Linked DNA regions of Mytilus edulis. Each later gene encodes a partner of the first gene's protein in a complex. Links are inferred from orthologs where the notes say so. Each region holds a gene or a part of one and is shown on either strand. Other genes may lie near its edges.

Evidence for each region.
Region 2: WD40 repeat-containing protein SMU1 (region 1) and zinc finger matrin-type protein 2-like share a complex: the UniProt entries of both Homo sapiens proteins name them as parts of the spliceosome B complex. The link is inferred for Mytilus edulis from reciprocal best matches to the Homo sapiens genes SMU1 and ZMAT2.

Annotation. Positions count from the first base shown.
Region 1 is NC_092354.1:21,760,495-21,768,473, forward strand, and holds the start of WD40 repeat-containing protein SMU1, read right to left. Parts: upstream 3,108-7,979; 5' UTR 3,009-3,107; coding exon 2,983-3,008; intron 1,395-2,982; coding exon 1,184-1,394; intron 1-1,183. Other genes in the region: leucine-rich melanocyte differentiation-associated protein-like, read left to right, coding at 7,732-7,770. UniProt on the Homo sapiens protein: Involved in pre-mRNA splicing as a component of the spliceosome. Regulates alternative splicing of the HSPG2 pre-mRNA. Required for normal accumulation of IK.
Region 2 is NC_092351.1:34,546,382-34,553,413, reverse strand, and holds the start of zinc finger matrin-type protein 2-like, read right to left. Parts: upstream 3,092-7,032; 5' UTR 2,962-3,091; coding exon 2,953-2,961; intron 1,106-2,952; coding exon 950-1,105; intron 62-949; coding exon 1-61. Other genes in the region: protein FAM114A2-like, read left to right, coding at 4,881-5,516, 6,278-6,362. UniProt on the Homo sapiens protein: Involved in pre-mRNA splicing as a component of the spliceosome.

The sequences.
Region 1 (7,979 bases):
TATGACGTCCATTATCACTGTACTATTATGCATATTTTAGGGGCCAGCTGAAGGACACCTACGGGTGGGGGAATTCTCGCTACATTGAAGACCCATTGGTTGCCTTCGGCTGTTGTTTGCTCTATGGTCGGGTGGTTGTCGCTTTGACATATTCACCATTTCCTTTCTCAATTTTATCAGTACAGGTAAAGTTAAATTCGGATCAACAGATTGATTTACGACCTTCCGCTTGTCCATGTTGTATTGCAAAAATATCACAGCAGGTGTTACTCACACTAGACAGGTGTCAAATCAGTATGACATTATGTCGGATTACGGCATCTGCAGTAATTAAGACTCTGTTTTTACTGTTTTTACAGGAACTGATTTATCTTAACATGACAATAAAGAAGAATTTTGTAAGGTGAACATATTTGTAGTAGTATTGCAAAGTTACCACGTGCATTTTCCTGTTCATTGGTCACAATTAAATAGATTATTCTTTATTAAACTAAATTCGATATTTAAATTGCAAGTAACTTTAATATCAAAACCACCGCTTTTTATTTCTCGACTGAAAAGGGTAATAAGACGGTTATTTTTATCTGACTGTAAACAGTGTATATAATCACAACGATCTATTAATAACCGTTGCTCACAGATAACGGATTATACAACGATCTATTAATAACCGTCGCTCACGCATCACTGGTTCTATCACTGACTCAATACACACCAGTTTAATCGGACAAACGGATAATTCCCTGAGACACACGGATAATTCCCTGAGACACGCGGATAATTCCCTGAGACACGGAAAATCTCCGGAGAACCGCAAAATATACTGTAAAACGAAAAATTTACGATGAACCTCTATTTATTATCCGTTCCGCGGAGATTTGCCAAAAATCGCGGTCATTTGCCAAATAGGTCTACCAGTGTATACTACCCTCCTTTCGAAGTAGCATAGTCCAACAGACAGATCGATTGGTTTCTGTCGGACTAGTCTATTTCTTCTAAAGTAGGGTAGTTTGTTTACCTAACCTAACAATGACTTCACGGCTCAGCTAACAAGCAAGCTAACTAAAAAAATTACCTTTGGCTACACACTCCATGGAATCCGCTGTAAGTTATTTTATTAGTTTGTTGGAAGTATCTTGTAGCACATTAGCCCTACTACCATTATTTTGAGCTTAGACCTCACCTGTTCATATAAATCTATAAGTTTCTGATCAGGGAGTTTTAGTGTCTGTATGGCTTGGAGCACACTGTCCCAGTGACCACTGTTGATGTCGGAGACAAACCCATCTACAGAATCAACAGTATTCAATGATGTCCCACTCTCTTCTTGTAGAACTGTAAGTGTCCGTAGTAAATTGTTTTCCTTGAGATACTGCTCAATCAGACGAACAACACTGAAAAAATAATTTAAAATAACATAAGCATTGTGATTTGATTTTCTTTGCCACTTTTAAGCACTGCTTTTGGGCTATTTCGTGGCTGCCATTTTATATTTGTGGATGGAGCTGGAGTGCCTGGAGAAAACCATGGTCGGATCTTTGATAGGAAAACTGACAATTAAGATTGGAATTGAGTGCAACAGTAGACGCGGGGTTCCAACTAATAACCTCAGTGTTGACTGGCTAGTGATTACAGTAGTAGCTACTTATAGTTAGACAACTTGACCTCCAAGGTCCATTATGAGCATTGTGACTATTAAGGAAATTTACAGAAAAATGCATGAAGCAAAAGTCTGCCAGAAAGTTTTCCATACAATAAATTTTGGTCTGTGATAAACATACAAAATTTAAGGTCCAAACCTGGAGACCAGTAGGCATCTGCAGTAGGGTAACTAAGAACCGCGATATTCCACCTTCCAACACCAGAGTCTTTCAAATTCGAATTCCTGTACCAGGAAGAAGAACAACCAAACAAAAAATGCAAAAAGTGCCACATTATTATTATTATTAACCTAATAAAAATTGCCAAAATCTACTGTCTGCGCCCCAAGTCCTGAATCTTTCAAGGCTCAGCTTCGTCATAAGATTTAAATGACATGTTTTTAAATTGCACCCATTCTTTTTGTTTATTAAATTTCAAAAATATTGCATGCACTCACTCTAAAATGTGGCAGAATAGTCAACCAGTTGACAGTGGCCGCTTACAGGAAGAAGAAGACATGTACAAAAGTAACAATGAGCTGTCAAATGTACATGTAGGTTAAAGCACACTATAGTATGTCCTTGTTTGTATACTATGATGACTCTAAATAGAGCTTATTTTAGAAGAAAAATCAATAAAAAAAAAAAAAAATTAAAAATCTGGAAAATTTCATGAAATTTTCAATGTACTTATGAACTCAAAATCGTTCAAATTTTTTTTTTGTCGCTTTTTTTTAATTTGCGCATAACGCAAAAATCTACTGCCTCCTTCCGGTCTCGTTGTAGCACTTGAGACTTTGAGTAGTCTAGTAAAATATAGGAACTCAAGGAACACAATACCAATATTTCATTTTTAATAATTAATAATTATTTGTCTTTGATATGAATGTAAAAACGTTACCTGATACATTGTGTTTCTTTGTTTACATCGAACATGACGTCATAACTTAAATAAAGTCACAAGTAAAATCCCTAACAACAGAACCAAAATCGAAAACGTTACTGTTTTTCCGTTTCTTTTTTTTAACAAATATGTGTTACAAAAAAAAAAAATCGTACAGTTTCGTCCTTATTCACAGGTAATGCCTGCCTCATATTATTCATCATGATTGGAGTGTACCATTGCAGGTGCTCATTTATATGAGCTGGATTGTAGAACTTTTATAGGGAAATATCTAAAAACTGAAGCTGTAGTTAATGTTTATCTTAATGACATGACTACAAGATGGAAACAAAAGAGTGTACGATGTTAAAATTCAATGTACACTGGTCCCTATGCGTTATATAAATAGTCAAATGCAACATTGCATTGATGAAATCACAAACAAATAGAATCACTTACTCTCTTTGCTCGATTTCGACAGCCATGCTTAATGTGATCAGTGTTCGTGGAAATATTAAAGGACTATTCTTTCGTCCGTTGTTTAAAACGCACGTACGACATGTAAACAATGTAAATCATGTGACATTAAATTTGTTCAAAATGGTAGACAGCTCAACTTGAAAGACAATCATTGAAATTAAGTTGATTGACACAGTAATTCAATTCAAATATTGTTTACGCAACAATTAACACCTTAAGTACGTATTTGATAATTAGAAGCTTTAGAAATAGCGCTAGATATATATAGAGGCAGAGACATATATACATATATGTATTATATGTCTCTGATAGAGGTTTGAATTACAGCAATAATAAATGCTGTACTTGTAATTTGTACATGTTCATGATGTTGTATAGTTAGACAATATATGTATAGTGTCTTGAAATATGAAATTTATTTGTGTATGAGGCTTAGAAACGGGGGAAATGCGAGGTTCTACCGAATACAAATAATTTTCATATTTCAAGACACTATACGTATATTGTTTTTAAACTGAAATCGATAAAAAATTTAAAAAATAATAAAAATATGAAACAAATATTGTTAAAAAAAATGTTTAAAATTTCCCTCTTGGGGTACCATTTTGGGGTATTTCCCTTTGAGCGTATTCCAGGCGGTACAAAATTGACATTTTAAGGAAAAAGAAAGGGAAAATTAACTCTAATTAATAATATTTGATAAATCATGGTATAGAAATTACCAATTTGAAGACATAACAAGTTTAAATTCATAAAAGTTTGACCATTGTTACTATACGTTGTCATGGTTGTGACGTGACGTCGTAAGTAGGCGGGGCTTATAGGTGAGTTGAGGTCATTGACGTATAAAGCTAAAGTTTATACGTATAGCTTTATCTGTATAGTAAAATAGCTGATTGCAGTATAATATAGCTATTTTGCCGGCTCTGATAAAAATATCTGAAATAACCAAAACAATTAGTAATGACTTCTTTGCCAATGCCTGTGATATATTTAACAAGTTATTTTGATGATACATGTATCATTAATTTTATATTTAGATCTAATTTTGTTATATTGCGGACATTAAATCAAGAAATGTATCTCATTTTCAATTTTTCCTGCGCAAAATTTACAAAATCTCTCATTAGGTCTGAGACCACAATTGTCGTCCAGAATATTAAAGGAAAGTAGTGATTTGGTCCAGGTGAAAAAGGTTGAAAAATAGCACTTCGGAAGCTGTCAAAAGATTTTCAAGACGCCCTAAAGATAAAATTGTCCATATTTTGAGTTAGAGACGATGAAGTTTGTAAGAAAAGTTAATTGCAAGAGTCTTTTTGTGCTCAGATTTGTTGTATCATGTCACATGAGTATAGAAATGATAAAAAAGACACAAATTTTTATTTCTTACAGCCTCCATATGCATTTTTTAATGTAGATATGAGGTACAGCCTAAATTGACCCTAAATTTTTTCCAGTCTTACTTGGCCTAAGACCCTTTTAAACTAATATGATATGTTATTTGTAACTCTTCTTTCCATTTAAAGTACTTTCAATACATATGTAAGGATTATTTATAACCAAAAAGCTTCAAAAATTTAAAATGGCTGGAAAATATTACATCTTCATGTAAGGCCCCTTCATTGAAAAACCTCAATTTTTAGGCTCAGGCTCATATAAATTTGACTTTTGAATAATTATGCCAAGTCTGATAAATCAAATGAGTACTCTATTGCTTTAAGTACATGATAGGTTATATATTAAGGCATTTAAAAAGTATTTTTTTGCAATATTTTAATTTTTGAAGCCCCAAATGTTGATAGTTGAAATTATTCAATTTTAACGTCAAAATTTTACACGCAAAGATAAATATAGAACTTAACTTATTGTCTATAATATACATCCTATTGTCATGAAACTTTGTAAGCAGTGTTATAATTTATTAAGCTTTGCATGCTTTGGTCATACCAAGTTTTTTAAAGATTAGTCAACTCTTTCTATCCTATTAGGTCCAAGACCACAATTGTCGTCCCTTGATTTTCGTTGTTCACGAATATGAATAGTCCCTAGTGTTGACAGTGGATTACCTGCCATTAATTTTTATACCCCTTCCAAATTTATTTCTCCATGTTTAATGCCTCAAATTGCAAGTAGGGGGGTGAAATTACACTGTAAAAAAATTTGGGCCCAGAATTTTAAAGGAAAGCTGTCAAAAGATTTCAAGACGCCCTAAAGATAAAATTGTCCATATTTTGAGTTAGAGCCGATGAAGTTTTCTATAATTTTGATATAATTTGTCCCAAAAGTAGTACAACACAGTGTAAAATGGGATTTTTTTTATTTTCATTTATGTTCTAAAAGAAATGCACTACGAAATAATTGTGCTCTCATACCCACTGCCGTAGGACTTGGGGTTAAGCGTGAAGACTGATATTATATAATAGAACTATCAATGCATAAAAAATTGTTTTGATCTATTGCTATGCATATGTATGCACAATCATTTACTTTCACGTATATCCTGCATTTTATGTTTCAAAATATCTGCCCTCCCACCAACCCCCCCCCCCCCTAACCCCTCCCCCCCAAAAAAAAGAAAAGAAAAAATCAACAGCAGTATTATTATGATTATAGCTATGCAGCTATGATGTTCAGATCATTTATAAACAAATTACACATGTTATAATGAAAAATTGAAAAATTTTCAAATAATGGTCACGGTTTCATTTTCAATTAAAATTTAGAAAAAAAATCATACAGTTTGACTTTTAATACAAGTATTCTTATGAATTGATTATAATTTTCAAAAATCCTTACACTATTAGGTCACAGCTAGATGCAAACAAAAAAAATTCAGATTATTACAATGTACATGTACCATGTTTTTAATATCCTGTAATTTGCGTTTTTGGTCATGTTGGTAAAATCATAAAAAATGCTGAAGAGTTTAAATAGCCATCTCAAAATCCTGCATTTAAAACTGAAAACTGGAAAATCGGAATCATGTTTAATTCATAATATGACGGGGTACGAAGGGGTCCTGATCCTGAAATCTCGGGCTTAAAAACATGAAATCCTGAGGTCCTGAATTTAAAGAAATTTAAATCCCGACATCCTGACATCCCAAAATTTGAAAAAAAGAATTCCCAGATCCCGAAAGGATCAATCCCAAAATCCCGAGCTTAAAAACACCTATACTAAAAAGGTCCTATCCTCCCCCCTAATAGCAATGTCCATGATGTCTGTTTTCAGGGGTTAAAAATTCCACTAGCCCGACGCCCGGGACTAGATCATTTACGCCTCAGGCAATTAAAATGTGTAATTCGATATGCCCGACGGACTAGTAACAAAAAATATTGACGTTTCCAAAATAGAAAGTGAAAAATCCTTTCATCACTATTTTATGTTAGCCATTTCGATTCAATTAAGTCAGCCAGGATTCCAAGAATTTGAGCTGGTTTGTACAGGTCCTGTTGTACATATTTTAAAACTGGAAGAAATAACTCTGGCATGTCTGGGTGGTCTGGTATCATGTGTTGATTGCAATTCTCGTACTTTAAATATCGATTTCTCATATCATGGCTCGGGGTATTGTACATTGCTTAGGCAGCAACCATTTGATTTTCTGGGGGGGGGGGGGGCTATGGTTTTTTTTTCTGTGCAAACTTTTTTTTTCGCCTTCGGCGTAGAACAATCTATTTTTTTCTTTCAATTTCAGCATTACATATAGTGGCAGCTGAGGGTGAAACAAACAATTTTTTGTACTCAGGGTCCAAAACAAATTATTTTTTTCACCAAAACCTGGAAACAAACTTTTTTTTCCAAAAAAAAAACATAGCCCCCCCCCCCCAGAAAATCAAATGGTTGCTGCCTTATCGTGCCGAGATTTTCAATTAACGGTATTTGGGGGTATGATGTATTGATTGGTATTGACCTGTCTTGTTGCACAGCTCTTGAGCACGAAACCATGCAACAAAATATTTCTTAATATTTTAGTACGTGAACCCCAGGAACTTCGTCAGTTTCAACACGAAAAACGGTAGATGAAGGGAGTAACGAGGCTGAAAATTCATCCCCCAAAAATGCTAAATACGATAGGGAAAAGCCGCGGAAAAAAATAATAGTGTCAAGGACAGCAGGGCTGTCAAGTCTTTAGCGCGAGACTCACACATGTTCATGCTTATTTTGTGGCATTTTCCTTTGATCTATTGTTTTTTCTCTTTGATCTTAACTATTTGGCCACAAAATCACGCATTCACTTCCTGAAAGGTTGGAAGAACTGGGACACAATGATTCCCATGGCAAGGTTGGCTGTTGCTGATGAAAAAACCGACAATGCTCTGTGAATATTGCCGTTAGTTGCCCCAAGCACTCCAATAAAAAGTCTGCTTTGAATGTGGGAACAACTAAGTTAGGTTAAGCACCAAAAGAATAAATAACAGATCAACAAAAATTATTAAATACAGTGTATAATGTCTCCTTCAAAACAACGGACACCCACTTTGTATTATGCCACAAACTCTTGATTTTAAAGGCATACTAGGGCTAGCAGGTCAGTTTTGATGGACTAGCAGTTCTTCCAACAGGGCTAGTAAAATACTGCTGCCAATAAGTCCTGGGCTAGTTAGCTGTAACAAAATTTTTTAACCCCTGGTTTTATATTCTACAATCATTTACCCTAATTTATTTCAGATGAAAATTGAAAATGTTTCTGATCCTTGTGATGAATGAACATATGGATTGAATAAAATGAAGATGTCAGAAAAAAGAACCAGTTTAGCATACCAGGTATGTTTTTAGATGGTTAGCAGTCTAGATATAAAAAATAGAGGAGTATGATTGCCAATGTGACAACTCTCCAACAGAGACCAAATGACACAGAAGATGACAACACAAGCTTGTTTGTAATTCCCTTATACATTTGTATGTTCATCAATTTTTCTGGATATTTCTTTATATTGCTATTATTGACTTGAAATATGTCATTGTTGTGTACA
Region 2 (7,032 bases), on another chromosome or scaffold:
CTGACTGAGGTGTTTGCTTTGTGATAACCTGAGATTTTCCTAATTTAGAATCGAGATCAACCTAAAACAAGAACAACAGATACAGTAATTAGAACAGCTATAAAAATTTAACATACGATCTTATACATGTATATGAAGACAAAGCGACACTTACTTGTCAGTTTGTAAATAGATGTGTGCTAAGTCACATCTTAGTAATTGTAAATGTTACAACCTATTCTACACAAATGTTTAAGTGCCAGTCTTTGTAATAATCAGGCAATTTAGACAATTTTCAAAACAAGACAGAAAAAAACCTTACCAACCTACCCATCCTATTATGAAGTTTCCCTTATCCTGAGTTCATGGAGTTATAAATGGTAGATTGTTTTGTTTCTGTGTGTCTATTATTTTGAGAAATCTCTAGATAACTTTTGGTAAAGAATGAAAGCAAATTATGGAGTTATCTCCCCTTAGTTGTTAATTTCCAGTGCATTTTAACCAAATTATATCTTGAATTACAGGAAACAAATGTAATATGCATGCACTGTTACCATGGTTATATATGTACGTTTTGATCTTAAATTAATGTCAAGTTGAGCCGGGTTTTTGTTTGTCACGTTTGACCACTGCCTCAGATTCTTAGGCAGAGTGGCTTGGCACTTAATAAAGATGCTGCTTAAATATTTATATAAATTAATCAGTTTTATTTAGCAGTCTATTTTGACTGACAAAAAAAAGACTGGTGTTTATATATTTGGTTTTATAAACCATTATCCCAGGGAATTTTACTCAAAGTCCCTCTTCAGTATCTGCTCTTTCTTCCACAACTGCATAGTAATGTCTTGTCATGGCTTAAAACTGTATATTCCCTTTTGACAGATTTACACAAAGATATTTAATCATAAGATTTTTTTTCTCTATTTCTGAATATATTAATTTCGATCAAATGTAACCTTGTTTAACATACTTTATATTCTCTAGGTTTTAATAGTTCTCTTTTGATAGGTGGCTCTTTTAACTCTTTTTCAAGAAGTTTCCTTTCTTCTTCTTCCAATCGAACTTTAGCAATTTTTTCATACTCATCCTTGTCCCACTTTCGTCTGTGATCACCGGGTGTTGGTTTCTGAAGAAAAAAATAAACATTTAAGTAATGATCTTTCATGTGGATATAAATTTACTTATTAATATAAAAGATGTAGATAATATGATAAAAATGTATATCATATCATATTCAAGGCTCAGATATATCATCACTTGAAGGTAGGGTTTGTATAATAAATTCTCTATAAATTAATGAATGTACATGAAGTTAAATTAAAGAACTCTGGAAAATTAATACATAGTCATTAGATCACAGGTAATTGTTTCCCTAAAAAACATGAAAACAGACTGTTTCTTCTCTAGAACAACAGGGAAATATCCCTCGCATTAAAGCAAATATATCTATAAACCTTTGAAAAACACATATATGGGAAAAATTAAACAAAGCTAACTCAATGTTTGCGGCAATAAGAAGAATATAAATTTAAATGCAAAGATCTTCATAAAACATAAGGGAAAACACACTTAGACTATGCTAGTTCAGTATAGGCTCCCTTCAAAAAGAAATTCTTTGGCAAAATTAAAAATGTACAAAAAAGGCCGACAGGCCAGATACCTGGATCCAACAAATTCAGTTATCCGGAAAGATTGAAGAAACTTAAGCTGCCAATATAGAATGTTCTGAGGGGACATAATTGAGACCTACAAGATACTTAACAGAAAATACAATCCAGAAACTAGTACATTTCTCAAACTAATTAAAAACACCCAAAATAGGCATAGCACAAGAGTTCATAGTGCAGGGATACAGGCGATCCCCTCTATCTGATAAATGATGTCATAATGGGGCGCATAATTGACGAGTTTTTTCCAGTGAAGGATAAACTCGAAAGTGGTCTATTTCCACAGGCACTTGTTTCTTTCAATTGGAAGACCCTCTATCCACGTATATTTACTTGGATAGAGGGTCTTCCAATGGATAGAAACAAGTGCCTGTGTCTATCAGTCAGAGCTCAGACATAAACAAGTCTATTTTTGTTTTTGACTTAAAGAAGTCAAAACATGTATTTATCATAAAAATGTGTTTTCAATTTTAGACTTATCTAAGCCATAAAATGACAGACTTGTTTAGGTCTATTTATGTTGATGAAAAAACTAATTTCACTTGGTGGCCAAACTACACAACCTATGACAGCAAAAACCTGTCTGAGTGTTCACAAGGACTTGAGCTATCTATATGTAATTGTCTTATTGAACATCCTTACTAAACACAGATGTTTTTCCTCATTAAGTGTAGTTCCAGGTGGTTGCATTGTAAGGTTAATTAACATTATCTCCGATTTTTTAGACTCTCATTCATATTTTTCCTTAGAAGACAAAGCATTGTCTTTGAATGTTGTCATTATTTGATTTAGATGCATGACCTCCTTATAAATTTGCGTGGGTCTTTAAGCTAACCAATTTTGATCACTTATCGACTTGTAGGAGTCGATATTTGCAACTTTTTGATTCTGTACAGTTATTTCTTGCTTAACAATATTTGACTTATTAAAGTCATATTTTGTCTTGCATTAAAGGGAGACTAATCCTAAAACTTACAAATCTAGACCTCTATGAGTCAAAAGCAGATTCAGACTTATTCATGTCTGAGCTCTGACTGTCTATTTCTGAAAGTTTTCCATCATCGAAATTCCAATTTTTAATAAACTGCTAGGTTTAATTGGTCATTCAGGTGGGATACGTGTCATGGGACATTGTGAAGTATAGTTCTATGCTTTGGAACATCACATTATCTAAGCAAAAGCACCAGTAGTAGGACCATGAATATAAAGAGAAAAGGGGGGGTTTATTGTGTCTTTACGATTTACAAAGAAGACACTTAAAAGGGAAAGAGCTGGATTCATTCTTAATTTGTCGTATTCTTGTAACCTCTGCCATTGTTCTTTAAAGTATCCTCAATAATATTAATTTATAAATTTGTAAACAATCAAATAGCCTTCGCTCTCGGGTTTCTTCTTATTGTCTATGGAAAACTCCGAAAACTCAAATCCATGCACTTCCATCTAAGTTTCTCATGCGTTTTAAAATGACAGTTAGCTCCTATTTATTTCAAGTTGCTCAATGACCCGAAAGCTTAAAAAAATGCAAAACAAATCGACGTGGCTGGAGTGACGAAATTTATTATAGTTCGATTTTCCATTTGCATACGTTTGACAAGCAGAGTTTTGGTAAGTTTTGCATGAAATGGACTATTTTTGTCTGAGAGGGAGAAGTGTTTGATTGTTGATAAACAATCCTTACACTTGGAAAAATGCCAAATTTTGAGGGGTTGATCTGTTGATTACAGATTTGCCATGCCATCATTTGCATGATTTTGATAATTTAGCAATTTAATCTACTTTTTCTTTTTTTAATTTCCTTTCTCTCATTAGATCATATTTTAATTATTAATGGTTGTACTTGAAATAGACAGTCCTGACTTTTGTATTGACTATTGTCACAAACAAAAATATATTATCCTCACCTTATGGGTTTTCCTTCTATTTACCCTCTTACTGCTGGTAGTATTTCATTTCATTTACAAGAAAATACGGCAGCTCAACATCTGTGACGTCACATGTACATGCTCAACAATGACTTCATTTGACATGTTTGATATATAACGTCATATAATAATTATAATTACACCTTATGTAAGAATCCGGGGTTTTGATTGGTTAATAGCCAGTGTATTTTTCACCAATTTACTGTTATCAAATGAATATTGTTCATTTTTTACGCCGCCGGCATATTTGCTAAAAGGATATGCCTTTTTTACCCTCTCTGCCGTGGTATTTGCCAAAAATACTCTATCCGACTGGACGCTTGTAACGTCACGATCATCAATGCGTTTTAGTACATTAACATTCGGTGTAATTAAACAGATATATCATGTTATTGAGGGGTATTTGCGAAAAATACCAGTCTTGAGAATGAATTTCCCTCGCCTTACGGCTCGTGAAATTTAACATTCTCTCGACTGGTATTTTTCGCAAATACCCCTCCTTAACATGATATATCTGTTCAATATACAGTCTACATAATAATTTTTACGTTGAACTGTCAAACTTTACCAATACTCAACACTACTGGTGGGCGCAAGAAAAAGATAACCGTTATATTTTGGAGCCATTGAAGAAAAAATAATGCACTGTTTAATCATCAGCCTTTTTCTTGAAAGAGATACAAAATGTACATCAATGTTCATGATGATGAGAAGTTTGCATAAATTTGAAAATGGTTATATGTGTCCCTCCAGCAGCGAGAGGGTTAAGAATGGACCGGGATTATGACGTCACAATTTCCATTGAAAAAGCGTTCATAGTACAAATTGCAAATGACTCATGAAAACAAATAATCTGACCATTTGTTTAACTGTTCCTAGCCCTGTACCACCAAGCTTTTTTGTCGATCTGGCCCCAAGTCTATTTGTGCCAAGTCGATCAATTTCAAGTTGTTCCATTCCTATTTGATCTGTCCAAAGTAGTTCCTTCCCAAGTTGATTCAAAAGAATATTTATAATGTATAAAAATAATTCATAAATCATGTAAATGTTCATTAGTTTTATAATAATATTAAAGATGAACGGTAAAAAAGTTGGCCTTTGACGAAGATTTGTACATGAATATTTAATTGTCATAGAATGAACTAATAAAAAATGCAATCCCTTACTACTTTAACACAGTCAAAAATACTAAATAATAATCACAAGAGGATCAGAAAAGTAAGTTAATATTTCTCATTTCCTTTAATTGACTTCTAACCTCTTCTAAGCTTCTAACTGTTCATTTATACTTTTTCATGCTTTTGTAGATAAAATGTCAGATTCAGAAGATGATGCTGCATTTGCCAGTGCTGATGAAGGAGAAGAAACAAAGCAAAGTCCACCAAAGGGAGATAAATCTACTAAGCCTGATACAGATAAAGCAACAAAGTCTGTAGGAAAGGGAGACAACCCGAAACAAGCTTCAAAAACTAATCCTAAAAGTGATAAAGAGGCTATTGACAAAACAAAAAATCCTGAAGTACCACAACAGAAAGGAGCAACTGGAAAAGGAAAGAAAAAGGGAAAACAGGCCAAAAAAAATAATAAGAGTACTGAAAAACATGAAGCGAAAGAAACAGAAAGTAAAAAGCCTGAGAGTGAAGTAATAGTAAAAGAGGAAGAGAAGACAGAAAGTAAAACATCTGACATAGAAAACCAGGAAGAGAAAAAAACAGATACCACACAAGTTGAAGAAAAGAAGGCACCAGAAAATGATAAAGAGCTGTCAACAGACAGTACAAATGTTTCTGAAAAAACAGAAAGCATTGTTAAGTCACCTTCTGGGCAGAACATACAGAGGGAAGGATCTGGAGAAGGATCAGAAAAGCCAGACATTAAATCTGTTCTGGATCAACTAGCAGATGATGACGATGATGAAGAAGAAGAAGAGGAAGAAGAAGATCAAAAGGTTATTGTTACTTAAACAGTATAAAAAAATGTCTCTTCTATCATCATAATCATCAAGCAATTATGTGCTCCTTACATCATGTGCATCGATGTTGTACATTGTACATGCATATTTAACATGTTTAAGAATCCTTGCACTAGCTCTTTGAAAAGTCAGTAAATACATGTACATCTGGTAGGTTAGCTGTTGCAAGGCAAAACAGCAGCCCCTTTTAAATCTTTTTTTGTTAACAATGCAGTCAGGTCCTTCATGATCATCTAGTGTTAACCCGCAGTTAATTATTGAATGCTGTTGACCATGGCCCTAAGGTAAGCAGAATTTTGCAGAAACTATGTATTTGGTTGAAATACTATTTGTACTCCTGAATATGCTTTAAATATTTGCCACTGGCTATTAATCATTTATTAATCAATCTTAACTTCTTAAGGACAAATCACCTCTTGTAACTGCATTCAACAGGCCTTAAGGAAACAGGTCAATGGATTTCTAATGAATTATTATAGACAAAATATGTTTGCTCCTTGTTTGGCCAAGAGGGTGGAAAGTACAAAAATGTATGCTTTAATTTATTTCAAAATACAATTAAAAAAAAATGTATATGATTCTTTCAATTTACAACACTGTTCATTCTTGTATGGACCTGTACCAAACTGAAACATTACGATATCATTATCATTACTTTTTAATACATACATGTACATTTACATAATTATATATATGTAAGTAAAGGCAGACATTCACTGTACTTTATTTTATTACAGTCTAGTAGTTGGAATATTGGAGGATGGGGTTCTAGTATCATGAATGTAGCACAGACATCAGTTTCAACATTTACAAATCAAGTTGGTTAGTATCATAGATAAATCGGTCTAATTGGTACAGACATGATAAAATGTATTTCAAAGAATCAGAGGATCACCTGTCAAACATCACTCTAATGCAACATTGTGTTTAACATTCATTTTGATTGGATAAGGTTGCTAATTTTCATGTCATTAAATCACAATATTAATTGATGCTATGAAAACGTACGCAAGCGCAGACGACATATTACAGATTTTAAATGTATGTTTTAACATTGTTTTCTATCAGTTTCATTAGAATGGAGATTACAATATTGTATTTTAAGCTTCGACGACATCAATTGGTGATTTTATGGTCATAAATACCTGTTTACTGGCTCCACTAACATATCTTTGCCTTGAGACATTAATAAAACATATTCATTTGTTATTTTTCAATCTTGAAAATTAAAAGTGTATTGCAAGCATTTGTAAATCTATGGGGAGATAACTCATTTAGTTACATATTTACTCCGGAAAAGTTTCACAATGTCAATATTGAGATCTATTGGACAAAAATACTTGTAGAAAGTTGTTTTCATATGTGTATTTTCACCTGTACATTATTAATTTGTTTAGTTTAATTTTGCAAGGCACCTAAAAAAACACTCGAGATTCAAATTCAAATTCAAATTCAAATATTTTATTTGAGATTCTTACAAAGAGTACTTGTA